Linked DNA regions of Struthio camelus. The protein of the gene in region 2 interacts with the protein of the main gene of each other region in a biochemical or structural test. Links are inferred from orthologs where the notes say so. Each region holds a gene or a part of one and is shown on either strand. Other genes may lie near its edges.

The links.
Region 1: the proteins of ATF3 (region 2) and JUND form a complex in vitro, tested with the Homo sapiens proteins (2 studies listed by BioGRID and IntAct, with this or other methods). The link is inferred for Struthio camelus from reciprocal best matches to the Homo sapiens genes ATF3 and JUND.

The regions. Positions count from the first base shown.
Region 1 is NC_090967.1:5,773,645-5,782,328, forward strand, and holds JUND (transcription factor JunD), read right to left. Parts: upstream 3,288-8,684; 5' UTR 2,742-3,287; coding exon 1,413-2,741; 3' UTR 1,333-1,412; downstream 1-1,332. UniProt on the Homo sapiens protein: Transcription factor binding AP-1 sites.
Region 2 is NC_090944.1:114,229,473-114,239,353, reverse strand, and holds the start of ATF3 (cyclic AMP-dependent transcription factor ATF-3), read right to left. Parts: upstream 4,477-9,881; 5' UTR 4,289-4,476; intron 61-4,288; 5' UTR 57-60; coding exon 1-56.

The DNA.
Region 1 (8,684 bases), on a different chromosome or scaffold from region 2:
CCCTCCCTACAACACCCACAGGACCCCAAGGACCCCCCCCCCAACCATAGAGCTCCCTGTGACCCCCAGCATGACCTCACCCCCCCAAGACACCCACAGGACCCCAGGGCCTCCCCTCCAGCCCAAGAGACCCCCTCAAGACCCTAGAGCCCCCCGTGACCCCCAGCAGGGCCCCAACCCCCCCCCAACAACACCCATGGGGACCTCTGGCAACCCTGGAGCCCCCCCCACAACACCCACAGGACCCCCCACAACTGGAGAGCCCCCTGCGACCCCCCCACAACCCCCCACAACCCTAGAGCCCCCATCACCCCCAGCAGGACCCCAAAACCCACCCCCAACACCCACGGGGACACCTGGAGACCCCCCATGACACCCACAGGACCCCCCCGACGACCCCAGGGCCCCCACTCCAGCCCCACGAGCTCCCCCCCCCCACGACCCCCAAATCCCCCCCACACCCCCACCGCCCGCGGGGACCCCCCAGCCGCCCCCTCCCACACCCCCACCGTCCCACAAGCCCCTTCGCCCCAAGATGGCAGCCGGCCGCCGCGCCGCTTCCTGCCCGGCCTGTGGCGCCGGCGGCGCAGGCCCGGCCTTCCCCCCCCCCCCACCCCCAAAACTCCCGCCGCGCCCCCCCCCAACCTTCCCGGTCCCCCCCCCCGCCCCGGTTCCCCCCCCCCCCGGTGGCGAAGCAGACAGCGAGAGGCGGCAGCTCCCGGCGCGGGCTTTACTGGGGCCTCACTGGAATGTGGCGGGCGCGGGGCCGCCGCCGCCGCCATCCCGGGCGCGGCCGCCGAGGCCCGTCGGGGGTCGGGGGGGGGGGGTCCCGGCGCCCCCCTCAGTCCGTTGTGGGGGGGGGAAGGAGGGATCGGGGGTCATGGAGCCCCCTCAGTCCATCAGGTGGGTCCCGGCGCCCCCCTCAGTTCATCGTGGGGGTCGGAGGGGTCCCAGCGCCCCCTCAGTCCGTCGTGGGGGGGGGGGAAGTTGTGGGGGTCCCGGTGCCCCCTCAGTCCGACGGGGGTCGGACCCCTTTGCTCCAGTCCGTGCCCGGGAAGGGCAGCGCGGTGGAAAGGCTGGGGGGGGGGGTCCTCTCCCTCACCCCCCCCCGCCTGGTACCTCCAAGTCCATGGGGGTTTTCCAGCCCGGAGAGCCCAGCCCCGACGGCGGGGAGGGCGCTAAGTCCACAGCGGGCCGAGGAAGAAGAGGAGGAGGAGGAGGAAGAAAGGGGGGGGTGTTCCACCACGCTGCTCTCAGTCCACACCAGCAGCGCCGGCGCGGCAAAAGGTGGAGGGGGGGGGGGAAATGCCCCCGTCCGTCCCCCCCCCCCCCCCCAATCAGGTCCATCCGAGGGGGCGTCCGAGCACCCCTCGCTGCAAAGTCCGCGGCGGAGGCGCAGCGGGGCGGCACCCTCAGTACGCGGGGACCTGGTGCTGGTGCTGGGGCAGGAGCTGGCAGCCGCTGTTGACGTGGCTGAGCACCTTCTGCTTGAGCTGGGCCACCTGCTCGCGGAGCAGGCTGGCGGTGGAGGCCAGCTCCGTGTTCTGGCTCTTGAGGCTCTTCACCTTCTCCTCCAGGCGGGAGATGCGCTCCAGCTTCCTCTTGCGGCACTTGGAGGCGGCGATGCGGTTCCGCAGCCGCTTCCGCTCCGCCTTGATGCGCTCCTGCGTGTCCATGTCGATGGGCGACAGCGGCGGGCTCTCGCCGAAGCTCGACACCTCCGGCACGATCTGCGGCTCGTCCTTCAGCGGAGGAGGAGGAGGAGGAGGAGGCGGCGGCGGCAGCCGCGGCGGCGGTGCCGCGAAGGGGCCCGGCTCGGCGGCGTAGCTCACCGTCGGGTAGCTGCTGAGGTTGGCGTAGACGGGCGGCTCGGGCGGCGGGGCCAAGCCGGCGGCGGGCAGCTCTGCCCCACCGGTTCCTCCTCCTCCGCCACCACCGCCGCCGCCACCGCCTCCCGCCGCCACCGCGCCGGTACCGGTACCCAGCTGGTTCTGCTTGTGCAAGTCCTCCAACGCCTTGACGAAGCCCTCGGCGAACTCCTGCTCCTCGGAAGCGGCCGCCTTGGAGTAGAGGAACTGCCCGCTGGTCGGCGTGGTGGTCACCAACCCGTTGGACTGGATGATGAGACGCTCCAGCTCGGGCGACGCCAGTTTCAGCAGCCCCAGCTCGGCCGAGCCCAGCAGCCCCACCGCCGCCGCCGCTTCGCCGCCCGCCGGCCCCGCCGTCGCCGCCGCCGCCGCCCCGGGCGCCTTCAGCGCCGCCGCCACCTGCTCCGGCAGCGCCAACCCGAGCCCGTCTTTCTTCATCATGCTGCCGCCGGGGAAGGGCAGGAGGAGCCCGGTGCTACCGGAGGACGGGGCGAAGCCGCTGCCGAGGCCGCTCAACACATCATCATGGTAGAAGGGTGTTTCCATCCTCCTCCCCCGCCCGGCTGCGGGGGACGGGGCGGGGGGGAAGGAAAACAAGGAGGAGGGGGGGAAAAAAAAAAAAAGCAAACAACAACACAGAGGGGGAAGGGAAGGCGGCCCGAGGCGAGCGCTGCCGGGGGGGGAAAGGGGAGGGTGGGGGGGGGGAAGCCCCGGTAGCACCGGCCGCAGCCCCGGTGCTGCGCGCGCGCGCACACGCGTCTGCCGCCGCCCCGGCCCCCGCGCCGCCTTAAGTACGCGGCGCCGCCGCGGTGACCTCACCGAACCGCGCCCCCATTGGCTGCAGATGACGTCCTTGCCCGCCCACATTTGCATGGAGGGGGCGGGGCCTCGCCCGCTGCTCTTCCCGCCCCTCCCCCCCACTCTCCCGGCCCGCCGTCCCGGGAAGCGGCGCGGGGAGGGAGGGGGGCGGAGGGGGGAGTCGCCCCGCCCACTTTTGGCTCCGCCGTCGCCGGGGCGACCGGCGGGTAAACGGCACAACAGCGCGAGGGCCCCTGGGCTGACGTCATGGCGGGGGGGGGAGGGGCGGTCACGTGGCCCCGCGCCGCGCGCCCGCCGCCGGTATTTATAGGCACAAAGGTTGGGGGGGGGGGGGAGAACAGCACCGGTACCGACGGGTGGTACCGGGCACCCCTCCGCTCCCCGTGCATCCTCCACCGGGCATCCGGCCCCGTGCACGCTCCCCGGGGCAGCCGGTGCTTCCCCGGTGGAGGTGCTGAGACCGGACACAACTCATGGCTCTCACGCCAGGCCGAGCGGGGGCGGGCACCGGAAAAAGGCTGCGAAGAACAACCGAAAACCGGCCCGGGGGGCGGGCCGCGCTCCCCCCCCCACCCACCCCCGACGGCAGCGGGGGGGTCCCGGCCGGGGCTCGTCTTTACCGGCGCCTCGGCCCCCTTTCGGGCGCTACCTGCGGCCGCGGCCCTGCCCTCCCCCGGGGGAACCGCGGCCACGGCGTGCGTGCCGGGCCCCCCCCGCCGCCGCCGTCCCGCGTGGGCCCGGCTCCACCCCCCCCCCCCGACGGGGCGGACGGCGGCGAAGGAGTTAAAGCGGAGCCGGGGCCGCGCGTCACGCTCGGGTCGGGCCGGGCCGCGCCGCGCCGCGGGCGGCTGAGGGGGCGGATCGGCGTCAGCGGTGACGTCAGAGCGGCTCCGCGTGGAGCGGCGCGCGGCGCAGCGCGCGTGGGGGGGTGGGAGGAAGGGGGGGGCCGGCCGGGGGAGGAGGGCGCGCGCGTGTCCGCGGGGAGGGCCGCCCACGCGGGCGCGCGGCCCCGAGGCACGCGCGGGCGCCTCCCACGCGTGTCCGCCCTCGAGTCCGTGCCGGAGCTGGGCGCGTTACGGGGCGCGGCCGCGTTAGCGGGTTCGGACTTTCCGTCCTGGCGAAACGCGGGCGGCGAGCGAGCGCGGGGAGGGGAGGGAAGGGCGCGGGCCGGCTCCCTGCGGGCTCGGGGGGACGCTCGTGGGGCAGCCCGGAGCCCGGCGCGGCGCGTGCCCCCTGCGCACCCCTGTGCACGCCGCGCCGCGCCGAGAGCACCCGGCGTGCACCCCCTGCGCACCCCTGTGCACACCTCGCCGAGAGCACCCGTTGTGCACCCCCCGCGCGCCCCTCGTGCACGCCGCGCCTCGCTGAGAGCACCCGGCGTGCACCCCCCGCGCACCCCTCGTGCACGCCGCGCCTCGCCGAGAGCACCCGGCGTGCACCCCCTGCGCACCCCTGTGCACGCCGCGCCTCGCTGAGAGCACCCGCCGTGCACCCCCTGCGCACCCCTCGTGCACGCCGCGCCTCGCCGAGAGCACCCGGCGTGCACCCCCTGCGCACCCCTGTGCACGCCGCGCCTCGCCGAGAGCACCCGCCGTGCACCCCCCACGCGCCCCTCGTGCACGCCGCGCCTCACCGAGAGCACCCGGCGTGCACCCCCTGCGCACCCCTGTGCACGCCGCGCCGCGCCGAGAGCACCCGGCGTGCACCCCCCGCGCGCCCCTCGTGCGCGCCTCGCCGAGAGCACCCGGCGTGCACCCCCCGCGCGCCCCTCGTGCGCGCCTCGCCGAGAGCACCCGGCGTGCACCCCCCGCGCACCCCTGTGCACGCCGCGCCGAGAGCACCCGCCGTGCACCCCCCGCGCGCCCCTCGTGCGCGCCTCGCCGAGAGCACCCGGCGTGCACCCCCCGCGCACCCCTGTGCACGCCGCGCCTCGCCGAGAGCACCCACCGTGCACCCCCGCGCGCCCCTCGTGCGCGCCTCGCCGAGAGCACCCGGCGTGCACCCCCCGCGCACCTCGTGCGCGCCTCGCCGAGAGCACCCGGCGTGCACCCCCTGCGCACCCCTCGTGCGCGCCTCGCCGAGAGCACCCACCGTGCACCCCCCGCGCGCCCCTGTGCACGCCGCGCCTCGCCGAGAGCACCCGTTGTGCACCCCCTGCGCGCCCCTTGTGCGCGCCTCGCCGAGAGCACCCGGCGTGCACCCCCCGCGCACCTCGTGCACGCCTCGCCGAGAGCACCCGGCGTGCACCCCCCGCGCGCCCCTGCGCATGCAGTGCCTCGCCGAGAGCACCCGGCATGCTCCCTGCACGCCCCTTGTGCACACTGCGCCTTGCCGAGAGCACCCGGCGTGCACCCCTGCGCACCCACTGCGCGTGCCATGCCTTGCCGAGCACCCGGCGTGCACCCACTGTGCACCCCTCGTGCATGCTGCGCCTTGCCAAGAGCACCCCGCGTGCACCCCCTGCACCTCACCGAGAGCACCCTGCGTGCACCCCCTGTGCACCCTGCGCCTCGCCGAGAGCACCCAGCGCGCGCCCCCGCGGGCACCCCGCCGCCCCCTCCCCGCCGCAGCCAGCCAAAATGAGAAACAGCTTTGGTTTTAGGTGCTTTAATCAGTTACAGAGAGGAACGAGCGGCCCCCGGGCCTCGCTGCAAGGGGGGCTGGCCGGCGGCCAGCGACGCGAGCCGCGCTCCGGCCCGGCCCCGCGCAACCCCGCCGGGGCACCCGCGCCGCCCGCGGCACCGGCTTGCAGCACAGCCCTTCGTTTTTCCTAACGAGCGTTTAATTAGGCCCTGCCGCCTGCCCTGGGAAGCGGCGGCCGGTGACCCGGAGGACGCCGAGCCCGCGTCCCGGCTGCTGTTCCCGCTCGCGCTCGGCCCGCCGCCTGCCAGCGGGGCTGCGTTTACCCCGGTGCCCGGCCGCGCCGCCGCTCTTCCTCCCAGCCCCACGGCGGAGATCCTCGCTCTTCCTCCTCGGCAGCGGGTGCAGCCGCGGCAGCTCCAGCGGGTGCAAACGGCCCCGGAGCGGCTCGGTGCCCCTTGGCCAGGGGAGCGGGAGCAGCTCCCCGAGGGCAGCGGGCTGCGCGCAGAGCCGGGCTCCCCCGCCACCGCAGAGAAAGCCGCCGCGCCAGCCCGAAACCCCGGCCGCGCCGCCGCTCGACGACCAGGCTGCACGTGGAGGAAGAGCAGGCGCTCCGGCCAGCACCTGCCTCCCGGCCCCGCTACCCCGAAAAAGGGAACGGCCAGCAGAGCGTTGGCTGCCCCGCGCGCGCGCAAGGGAAGCGGCGTCTTAGTCATCGCGGCAGGGAGGGCAGCGAGCCGGGGCGCGAGGGCTCGCCAGCCGCCGAGGGGGCCGCGCTGCCCCCGGGCACCAGGGGCTTGCAACAATCAGAAAAAGACAAAAAAAAAAAAAAACACATTAAAAAGGAAAATGAGGAGGAGGATTTGACGTGTATTTTTAGTTGCTTAGCGCAGCCTTGAAATATTTCAGCGGCCACTCCCTCCGCGTTGCAGGCGGCTGGCGTGTAACTATTCCTGTGCTGTCTCCCAGACGCAGGCACACAAGCATGAGTCACGGCCGGCCGCGCCGCGCCGCCAGCGGCTCGCCGGCCCCGTGCGAACACGAGCGCGGGGCCGCTTCCCGCCGTGCAGCCCCCCCGACCCACCCCGGTTTTCCGGCCGGGGGCCGCTCGCCCTGCCAGGCCGCGCGTGTCCACGCCGGCATCGCGTCTTAGACCTTTTCCCTCCTCTCCGGCTGTCGCTTTTATCTCGCTCCTCCTTGCGTTCGTTTCAGACGCTGCGATGGGGCCGGATTGGAGCGCCCGGGTTTGTTTGCCGCACGCCGGCCTCGGCCACCCTTTTTGGGACAGGAAGGCAGTTTGGGGAGCGTGCAGGAAGGACCGAAACCGCAGACTAGCTCTGCGTCGACAGAAGGGCTGGATGCCCCTCGCGCGCGGTTATCTCCGACACAGAACCTGCCGCCGCGTCGCGTGCGACGGCTCGGCCTGAAAACACTCCCAAAGAGGTGGAAAGAACATGGCCCAGGATGCAAAGAAGGGGGAGGCAGTAAGGGAACACCGATAAGGAGCACGGTTGTAATTAAACAAAAGCAGAACTTAATGAGCTAAAACGCCCGACCCCAAGCTTCGCGAGGAGATAAGGCGCGCTTAGAGGACTCTACCCTGAGCCGAAGCCAAAGGTCCCATTGTTCCAACGAACATTATCTGGCCAGAACAGACCGTAAATCCAGACACTACTGCAGTTGTTTCCTTTTTCATTAGGGCAGCTGTAACACATGGGGTTTCTGTGGCTGGAGGCAGGGACGAGAAAGGGAGGGAGCAGGTTGGGAAGGGAAAGTCTGACACAGGGCTCAGCCTGTGCTTTGTTAAAATGCCACATTGGTGTTTACTTTGAGACGGAGTTTCCAGGAGGGAGGACACATGTGCCCTGTTCCCACTGCCTGGAGTTCGCTTCTTGGCAGAAGAGCCTCGCTTGGGATGGGGCTTTCGCTGCCGACGCTCCGAGGAACAGAGGCCACGCTGACGAAAGGTAGCCACGCAGAACACGCAGCAGCTGGTTTTAGAGACCAGAGGTTTAGCCAGTCTGCTTGGCTGTTTATTCTTTATGCTAGTGATAGAAGAAGGGTTTTTACAAGGGTTTGGTAAGGCCCAGCTTTGTTGCAGACACAGGAAGGAAGTCATTTTCTACAGGTTGGCGATTTATTCCTACTCACCACTCAGCAAAAATTCTGTAATCATTCAAAAAAATAAGTAGATAGAAAAGCGTGCACTTCACTTACTTTCTCTTCAAAACAGCGATGATGACAGAGTGGACCTCAATATGGGAGTCCGTTGTAAAAAAACCCAACACCCCCCCCCCCCCCAAGTTGCTCACAGTATCTGCTTTTACCTTCAAATTAAACATAGTCATTCAGGAAGTGGAGGCAAGATCTACAGCCTCGTTCTTCCCCCGGTAACCCTACACAGGGTTTCAGTTCAGATCAGCCAGGATATTCTGCAGGTACGTTTTGCTCATGGGACACTGCACCTTTGAGATGGAAGACTTTAAGCAACCTGACCTGGAAATTCACAGGAACTTTCCTGCTGACCTACAAGAGGGGCACGTTCACACTCTGGTCTCTGGCCCCAAGGAAAGATATCTGGACAGTTAGTAGAAAATGAAATGACAGGTACTTATAGTGAAGTCAATCACTACACACCATGAGAAATAAGCTTTAAAACAAACAAACAAACAGTCTCAACTCAGGAATCTGACTGCAAGACTTCATGTCACAGGCACAAGGGAGAGAATATTCAAAGCAAAAAAAATTTAAACTTAACGGTTCCAACTGCTTTTCAGGGAAAAAAAAGGAAAGAAAAAGCAATATAGAGTAAGGGGCATATTAGCCTTCCACAGTAAAACATAAAAACCCCTTTCCTTTAAAGGAAACTTCTAAACTGAAGTCAAAGGAGAAATACTACTAATTGAGAATCCCTTATTTACAACAAAGCTCTATGGAAAACAGCCCTTACAAAGGCCAATGCAACATTCATCCCAAGCTCTCCCCTTAGCCTGTGCTCTAAGGCACAGGAGAGAGACAGAACGGACCAGCCAGAAAGGAGATGGCTTAAATTTTTGTTTTTTTTTAAAAATGAACCCTTAAGACCACTCACGTAAAGATACAACATTCTCAAGCTCAGTGTTGTTAAATCAAAGTGTTTGCATCTGTTACAAATGCAACAAGTTTCCCAAGTTTCAAGTATAAAAACAAAACAAACCATCCTGAAAAAGTGTTTGCCTTAGTTCTTAAAACACTATACAGGATAACACTAAATTAAACCTGATGACCCTGAAGAACTAAACAGCATTTTCACTCTCAGGAAAAGACTGAAGTTAGGTCCTCTACCGTAAGTGATTTTTTTTTTTTGTTTTAAAGTATTTCCAATTACAAATTTTCTGAGTAAAAGAAGTGAACTTCACTTTACCAGATTAGACTGTG
Region 2 (9,881 bases):
ATTGCGGAGGCGCTGACTTCTAATGCAGATACCTGGCCTGAGTGTTGGACCATCATTTTGCTGAAAGGTAAAAAAAAAAAAAAAGAGATAATAATAGTCTTTCAACAACTTTAGAAAGGCAAAAAACATCTGCTAGAGGCATATTTTAAACTGTGAAATAAGACTGTATTTCTTGCATTGCTTCAACCCACATTCCCTACATACCGCCATCTCTCACTGGAGTCAAGCAATTAACAATTTGATCACTAGCAAAAACTTCTGCCTTAGGTCAACTTCAATTTCATATTTAATAATTTTAGCACATCAAACAATTGCTAGATCGTTCTGAAATTTAAGACGGAAAAAATGTTCACGTGTACGTGCTGTGAAGCTTTACACTGGTAATGTGTGGCAAACATTACTATTATTTAAAATACAGAATCAGGTTAGGAGTATCTCCATCCTCAGAGCTAAACCATCAAATTCCAGCTTGAAAAGGACAGAGCAAAGTTTGATCTCAGCTACCTTTAGGTAAAGTTAGAACAGCTCTACTAGAAGCTGAAGTCTTCTGAGCAAGGGCAGAACCTGCCAGAAAATCATCATGTTCATTTTTACACAAGACTGTTAAGATCTGGTTATAAACTCCTAAATAGGAGTTGGCACAAACATGAAGATGGACTTTCAAAGCACAGACTGAGCTAGGGGCAAGAAGTCATGAAGAATGTGAAGTCATTTGTTTCATTCCTTTGCTCTTGTAAAATCTGAAACTGTCCTCAAATGCCCTCCACAAGGGTTTTAAATTCTTAAATATTTATGGCCAGATCTCCTGCTGATATAAAACAGTGTAACTGAAGAGACTTCAGCGGAATTATGCTAATAGACACCCATGGAGAAACCTCTCCCTTATTTCTAGCAATTTTCCTAAGGAAATGAACCTGGCCCACGGTGCTCTCCGGGTTCCTCTTCTTAGTCATCCTCATGTATTTTTTAAGCTGGTTGGGCAACGACAACCGAATTTGGAAGAGGGAGAAAGGCCCCCTACACGCTTTGTGAAAAATGGTGTCCCCGCTGAGGGAGAGGCAGGCAGAGCTCAGCAGCAAGCCACCAAACGCCACGGGTGCCCCAGCCGGCCAGCGCACCCGGCCCTGCACGACATGCCCTGTCCCTCGCCCAGAAGAGGTGTCATAACAGGTCTGGGCTGAGGGACAAAAGCTGCAAATCCATATGGAATCAGATTATATTACTCCTCTTATGCATAAAGCAACTTGTTTTAAATTGGATTTGACCATGCTGTTTTTCCTTTTCCTCATTTGTGTAGGTTTCTGTTTTTTTGTTTTGGGGTTTTTCTTTTTTAAATAGCTGTTGGGGTAATTACAATATGTGCTATCTACTCTTGACTAGAATTGCAATAATTACAGCAAAGTCAATTATAATTAACTTAATGCAGGTAAGCAAGTAGCTGCCTCAGGGTAGCAATGTGGGTAAGTTAAATTTCCGCATAGTCAGCCCAGAGCTGCACAGTTCCCTGTATGCTACCTGTGTAACACAGCAAGAAACGTCTGGGCATCACGCGCCTTGACAGGAAGATAGATTTTGCTCAGAGCTATCTAAAAGTGTACCGTAAATCCACCCTGCTGTAAGTCAGAGTAGAGGCTGGTTCATTGCTAAGTGAGGTAAATACAAATCCTGAGGACAGCGAATTGCCTGATGGGAGAGAATGACACTGTCCGGCTGCACAGGTCCCCTCGCTTTCAGACTCGGTGACCACAGAATAGCCGAAGTTTTCCCACATTCTGGAGGTGAAATCCTGAACCTACTGCAGTCAAAAGGAGTTTTTCTGTTGACCTCAGTGGGGCCCGGATTTCACCTTTAGTTACTAAAGACGGGGAAATTATTTGGAACAATTTGTTATTCAGAGAGACCTTGGGAAATTTATGTAATTCTCTCCAGAAAGCCCCTGCTCATGAGTCACGTTTAAAGTACTGATACAGTTTAATCCTATAATTTCAGAAAGCAAGCAGTTACTCTTTTCCAACAAGTCAGAAACATCCCTATAATTTCCAGCTAAACTTCTCCCAACATTATCTACCATTTACCAACAGGCAACCATTCAACACATTGAAACAGGCTAAGTCCAGATAGCGCTGAACCCCTCATTGCTAGCAGCTCTGTTTGCTGACTGTCAGTCTCTTTGGCTCCCGGAGATGGTTCCATTTGACAACGTCAATTATGTTTAATGCACTCAAATCAGGACTCTTAAATTAACAGTAACAACCTACAAAATAATTAATTGGGCTCACAGTTTCCCAGCACTGGTGGTTTATTCCTTTACTCATATATTCCTCACCAGAGGAAACCAAGAATGTTCATATTTCAGCCAAGTGCCTGAGAAACACTGTTCACACCGGATTTCTGTTAGTGCTAAGGGTAGCACTGGCAGCAGTAAGTACTGTACTGTACTATAATATCCTCAGGTACTCCAGTCGGTCTCCCCTCGGTTTAAAAAGAAAAAAGGGGAGTGGGAAGGTGGCCACCCGAAGGGGAAGCACGGAGAAGGAAGTGTCCTTGGCTGTAGAAACTTGCTGCTCTCCTGCCGGAGCAGCTCACTGACCTTCTCAACATCCTGAAAGGCACCTCTATTGACTCAGACTTTAGGGAAGGGAGGGCCTACCGGGGGGCTGAGGTTTGCGTGAGGATTTCTGCCATCAGCCGACTCCCATTTCGTGGAGCTATGTGCCGCCGGTTCGCTGCTCGGGGCTCCGCAGCAGGGCTTGTGGACAGTGTCTAGCATGGTAGGGCTCCTCTCCAGCCCTGAGAGCTGTAGGACCCACCATGGTATAAATAATAAAAATATTCAGCCTTGTCTCAAAGCTACCTAGTAGGCTAAATAGATTTCCTTTTCTTAACAGTAAGGTAGATATTTTCCTGTTTCTGAAGAAGAGTTCTGCTTTTAGAAATGTTTTACAAGAATAAAAATTAGATTTTGTTATTAAAAAAATGCAACAGTTTGCCCTCCCTTCCTTTCTCCCAGTTTTTGTCCAAACGTTATCTCTCTCGATAAGCTATCAAAAGCAGTGTACCATTTTCTTCGGGTTTGTAAAGAACCTAAAACAGTTGGGGAAATACCAGGAACAGGACTGTCTAACCTTACAGGGTGAGCACACTGGGGCCTTTCCGATAGCGTTGCTGTTTGCTCTGCCAGAGCAGGGGCGCGCGTGGCCCTGGGCTCCAGGCTGCCCCGAACACCTCTGAAACCCTTGGCTGCTGAAGGTGCTGAACAGGTCACAGACCTGGCCGGTAAAGGCACAGCTCCCTCCCAGTGTGAGTTAATGCTTCCTTGCCTTATCCCTAGTTCGACAGTTAACAGCTTTTCTCTTAATGGCTCCCTCCAAATTCTGGTAGGCTCAAACAACTTTAGAGAGTTGTTCCCTCCCTACTTTTTGTTTGTTCTTTTACTGATGATTCCTTCCACCTACACTGAACTTTTACATCTCGTTGGACAATATTTTAATTTCAGGATGCAGTGCCTAGCTGTGAGGTCCCCGGCTCTATTACTTAAGCGTATTGTAGTTTAATACTGATACTATAAGTGACTGCTTCAAGTCTTTTCTCTTTGGCTTAGCTGTACACGGCTGACTGAGCCTCTTGGTTTTATTTCTTCACACAAATTCCTTTTCCTCTGGTGCTGATGCAATAAACCCCGATAACCATTGAGGTTAATCTTAAATAGCATTAAGGGCAATTACAGTTCGCAACCTCTGTGCACGCTGGTTGACCTTAAGCCTTCTGACATCCCACATCATTCCCGAGTCACTCTCTGCTGGCTTCCAGCTCCTCAAACGCTCTTACTACGAAGGGAATCGATTTCGGGCAGGAAACTCCTTCTCTCTAGCAAGTTTTCTGTTGTGTCACGCCTGACTCGATTAGGCAACAGTTCAGCAACCGCTCTTCTCCGCGGCGGTCACCGGCACGGAGGGAAAAGTGAGCGCGGCGAGATCGCACGGCGCTCGCTGCCGCTCCCAGGGCGCCGCCGCCGCCGGAGCCGGGACCGGGCATCCCCGCGGGCCGGGCGCGGGCAGCAGCCGCGGGGCCGCCCCGCACTGCCGCCACCGGGGCAGCGGCCGGCGGGCTCCCCCCGGCAGCGGCGCGGGGGCCCGGCCGGGCCGGGGGCGCCGGTCCCAGCTCCGCTCCGCCCGGCTCGTCGGGACCGGCCCCGGGGCGCCTCTCCGCGCCGGGCGGCGGGCGGCAGCGCGGCGGGCTGCGCCCCCGCCGGCCAGGGGTCCCCGCGACCGTCTCCGCTCTCACCTACCTCTCTGCCGCCGCCGCCGGTTTCCCAGCCCCGGGAGGGTCCGGAGGGAGCGGGCTCCGCGCCTGCCCCGCGGCGCTGCCCCGGCCGCGGCAGTCCGCGCTCCGCCGTCCGCGCTGCTGCTGCTGCTGCTGCTCCGCCGCCGCCGGGAGAGCAGCGCCCGCTCACCGCTCGCCGCGCCTCTGCCTCTCGCCGCGGTTGCATCACCCCCCTTATATAGCCGAGTGGGCAGCGCTGGTATTTACTCTGGCGGCGAGTCCCGGGCTGATGTCATGCTATTAATAGCCGCCGCGGGAGAGAGGGCGGCGGGGGGGGCGCGGGGGCCCGCGGCGGTGATGCAAGGCGGCCCCGCCGGCCCGGGGGCGGGGCGGCACCGCACCGCACGGCTCCGCACGGCTCGGCCCGGCCCGGCCCGGCCCGGCGCGGCACGGAGCGCGCACCATAAGACGAGCGAGCCGCGCCGAGCCGTGCCGCGCCGTGCTGTGCCGCGCTGAGCCAAGCTGCGCCGAGCCGAGCCGAGCCGAGCCGAGCCGAGCCGAGTCGAGTCGAGCCGAGTCGAGCCGTGCCGCGCTGAGCCGAGCCGAGCCGTGCCGAGCCGAGCCGCGCCGATCCGAGCCGAGCCGTGCCGTGCCGTGCCGAGCCGAGCCGCGCCGCGCCGAGCCGAGCCGCGCCGCGCCGAGCCGCGCCGCGCCGAGCCGCGCCGCGCCGCGCCGCGCCGCCGGATGGTCGCCCCGCACCTGCGTGCCGGGCCGCGAGCGACGGGACGAGCAGGGGAGAGGAAGGCAGGGGAGGGGGCGCCCGGGGCGGCCCCGGGGTCCGGGAGGGCCGGGCGGCGGTAGCGGGGGGGCCCCGTGCGCTCCGCCGGCCCCGCGAGCGCTCTCCCGCTTCGCTTCTCCCGTCCTGCTTTCATCCTTCCCCCGCCAGTCGGGGGGCGTCTTTCGGCGGGTGGGACGCCTTCTGCTGATCCAGAACGAGCCAAAGAGCCTTTCACCACACTTAGAGAAAGTGAAAATAAGGGAAGATTTTTTTCAAAAGGGCTGAAAAATGTGATCCTACTTCACTGAAAAATTGCTCAGCCCTCCCCTCCTCCCACGCATCCTTCTCCCCGTCCTGCTTCAAATGTCAGCGAAAAGTTCAGTTTACATGTGGAAGAGGACGACTTCACTTTTTACCCTGAGGAGGAAAGACCCATTCAATGGCATGACAGGAAGCTAATAACAAATAACAAAAAATCCTTTTCTTAAAACACGTCAGCTCACGATGTCCTTATGCTTTCAGGGAAAACCAAAGAGTCCGCCGTAGGAGACAGGGAAGCATGGCGGTGTTGGCTGTGGTGAAGGGGGTTTTGTTCTGTTCTGTTCTGTTTTCGTAGCTTCCTGATTCGTTAAACAACAGAAATTGCCTCCACCAGCCCCCAAAGTGCTGGAACATAGATCTGTCAAAGAAACGCTTGCCCAAAGGAGGCGCACAACGCTTGCAAGGGCAGATGCACCCACGCTGTTATCCAACACAAGCATATTCCAGAGGTGCAAAAACGGCCGTTAACAAAGTCTTCAGGTCTCTTTCTTATGTACCAAGTACGGAAAGATCAGGACATTTAAAAGCTTGAGGATGTCCTAACTGTATTAACTGATACATTTATTTATAGCTACAACTTATACCCTGAACAACAGTGTTCCAAAAAGTTAATCAATTTCATAAAGTTCAATGAGGCTGTATTATGATAATATGTCTCCAGTTGTTTATTCTGGGATGTACTAATTGCTTGGAGCATTTTAACAAGGGTATTACATTCCAGTTGATGTAACGTCCGTGGGTTTGTATCTCCCCTCCGTGTGTGACTGCCTGTGTACGCATGTAAATACCTAAATGTGTGTACATTGGTCGCATAGACATGAATAGCAGTCTTAGCTTTTTAAATGGCACCACGCTTGCATGCTCAACTTCACAATCTTAACACTATTTTATACTTCATTGTCTGCTTTGGAGAAAAAAAAAAAAAGGAAAGAAAATCTGGTGGGAAAGGAAAAGAGAGCTTGGACTAACGATGTTCGCTTTCCTCTTGCAGTAGGTACAGTTGTTCCCTGCTCTCCTCAAACGATGAAAGGCACTTTGAGGACGCCGTAATGAGCTCCTCTGACCTACCTGGCAGCCCTCAGTTTGCAACTCTTGCAAACTATAGGCTTTTCTAGCTGTAGGCTCAAGTACTCGCCTATAGATAAATCAATCTCAGCTCTTTCAAAACATGTTTATTATCTTATCTTTGTTAATCTATGTAAATCAATGGCAAATACAATTCCAGGCAAAAACTTTGCTCTTCACAGGGGTCTAGAGCAAGTTTTGCTTTTCAGCTTGGTACAGTCTGTGAAATTTTTATTACTACAAAGGCATAATTTTACCATTCATGCCCCACTCGAAAACAGCTGGCGTCATTTTTCTCAAACCCAAAGGAAAAAGTATTACTCCCGAAGGAGGCCAAATGTGGAAAATTTCATCTCAAAAGATAATTGGTTGGAAAGTTCTGAGCATGAAGTTATTGTGGAAACGGTTTAGCAACATTAGTTTTAGTGGTCATGACCAGGTGCTTGCTGTAATTCTGACAGAGAAGATTTAGCAACTGTCCATTCTTATTTTACTAGCTGTATCATAAATGGAAACTTAGAGTATTTTTAGCTAAGTAGAGCAATGCCACAGAATAGTAAAGGTGAAAAAAAAGCAATTCCCTCCTTCTATGTGGTTAGAAGTACCTTTGGAAAATAAGTACTCTTATCCTGTTGTTTAAGGGTCACTAACATTTGCCGAACAATCACAACACTGCACCAAGTAGGCAGATGATTACTGAGTTTTTGAAATAGTACTGTGTTACACAAGACTAAACCGATACGTTTGTTTTCTATACAACACTTCTTCATTACTGCTGGTACCATTATTGACAATGAGCTACGTTTGGAACTAGAAATTGACAGTAAAACAGTTGTGTTAATTCTTCAACTGCCTCTGAAATGAGAGAGCTCCTCCCTGCAAAACAAACAGAGAGATTGTTCCTGTGCGCATTTAAGATTAGGCCACTGAAACATGTCCTGGCTTGAAATTCTTCTGTAAAAAAAGAAAATGAAACCACAGGGAAAAATAAGCTAAGTTCCAGTGTATCCCATAGGTTTGATCCTGCTCCCAAAGCTAACTTGACTCAGTAAAGATGTAGGGTCCGACTCCAGCTCCCAGAAGTTACATATAACTATAAAGAATATCAGGAAGCTAAACAGTGGAGCCACCAGACGCTCTAATGCTCTTCGCCAGGTTCGTTTTGCAACATGGCTTTAAATACCTTTCATTTGCCTCCCTCTAAACGTTTACCAATGCTCTTCTCTTTCATTTGTCTGCTGCTACCAGAAACTTCAGGGGACAATCCTGCCGAAACAGCAACCATTTCGCAGCCACGAAGTCAGTGTTAATTACTCCTGCCTTCCCTGGAGCCAGGCACAGCAGCTCCTCACCAGAGCACGGACAGCTACTGGGTTTTCTCTCGGTGGAGAAAACACCACCCCGAGGAGCACCCCATGGTGTTGTCCTTGCAGCCCGCGCAGGGAGAGGAGCGCACTCCTGCCTCTACCTTTTCCTGACCACATCCTGCCTCCACATCCCTTCACGCTGCTTCAGACACTGCGGGGATTTGGTTAAGACTAAAATGTGGTTCTCTACAGAGCTGCTAAGCAATGGATTTGCACCCTCACCATGAAAGCTTTCTGCTCTCCCTTGTCTTAAAATTTATGAAACTGTACAATCTCAGTCGAAATAACACCATAAAATCCAGATCCTGTGTGGTTTTATGGTCATACAATTCCACTAAACCCATCTGGTCTGGGGAACATGCAACGAAATGTACATTAAACGTGTAGGGATATCTTGAGTAAAATCGGTCTCCCTGTGTGCTCAGTGGTTTTAGTTGTATTACTGTAGCCCTGGTGGGTCCAGTGTTTCCCTCCATGGCACACATATGAGAAAGAGCGTTCTGGAACTCCGATGTACCGTGTTGCAAAACCAGCACAAAATTAAACTCTCTGCCAAGGAGAGGTATTCGATATTTCCGTGGTGAGAATTAACTTCTGCCATGATTTGTGCTCTGCCGTACATCCAGTTCTGAACCTATGCGGTAAGATACCCCTGTTCCTCAAAACACACGCTAGTTCTCAGACTAGTTTGACATTTGACCAGACCATCAGCAGTGATGAAACTTGGGACTATGTTTTCCAAAGTTGAGGTTGCTACTGCTTGAGCGAAGGGACTATTCTGTGGTAGAAGCAGCAGCAGTAGCTCCCATCCAGCCCAGGGCTTTTCAGGTTGCTGCCTGGGGACTCCTTGGGCATCTGTGGACTGCTTCCAAGGGTCTCCCAAAAGGTGATTTAAAAAAAAAAATATATATGTATATAGTATAGTAGCTGGGATCAAATTCACCATGGAAGCATTGGACCTCTACTGGGAAGCATTAAGAGCCACAAAAACCGAAGGGAGTTAAAAGCCACGGAGTTAAGAGGACAGATATTAACAGAGCCTGCATGGCAAACACTGCTACCTTGGTATATTTAATACTGCTCGAGTGGATGGGCATGTGCCTTGCAGAGGGAAATTAGCTGCCAATAAGGGCGCAACTTTAACTTCTTTTATTCTTTAATGCTGAAGAGAAGATTCATTTGCTCCTTGCTTTTCTCTCCTCAGTTCACATTTCTGTCCTTACTGCTTGTCACCATCACTGTCTGATATCCCTTCTCAATCAATTTAACCCTTTGTTGTCTCCTTTTCAGACCTTCTCTGCTTTCCTCATCTCTTTTGCTCTGTTTCAATAATAGCTCCCTTTCCTATTTCCTTCAAACAGCAACTTCTCCTTTTCTTTTGCCGCTCTGCTCTCCTCCTTTCCCTTCTCTCTCTTTTCCTCACGGTGTCCGTGGGTTCTGCCATCCCCCTTTCTGTGCCCTTCTTCCAGAGGCTTTCTCCCCTTGGTCCTGCTGCGCCTGCCTCTTCAGCTTCCCGAGTTTAAATGAGTCATTTCAGTTTGCTCTTTCACTTTCTGTCATTTTACTTTTTGTTTCTCCACTTGCAACATGGTAACATAGTTGCCAGTGGGTGCAGCAAGATGTGTATTTCAGGACCAAATTCCCCTGTCCAAAAGTACCATGAGCTTTAGTGGAGCTTTACTAAATCAGACGCTCCAGAATTTAGTGAATTCTTGTTGTCATATGCAGCGCTTTTGGAGTGTTTGGGGGGGGCAAGCAGTACAGCTATCTACTCTCTCAGCCAGAGAGAGAGCACTGACTCTGGCCCAGCCAACCATCTCTACAGTTTCCTTTTCCTGAAGCCTTTCTTTTCTTTTTTTTTAGTTTGTAGTCAGATCGTCTTTGCGTACTGGCATCGCAGCTGGCTAAGCACAACAGCCTGTAATTACACTTTCTGAGCTGTTTGGATACATCCAGATAGTAACAAACAAAGAAAAAAGATCCCACATTCGAGATCCCGTATATGAAAGGATCACATCTTAAAAAAGACTGAATAAAGCACAATCACTCGTTCCACTGATCAAGCAAAACGATAGGCCTGATGTGTT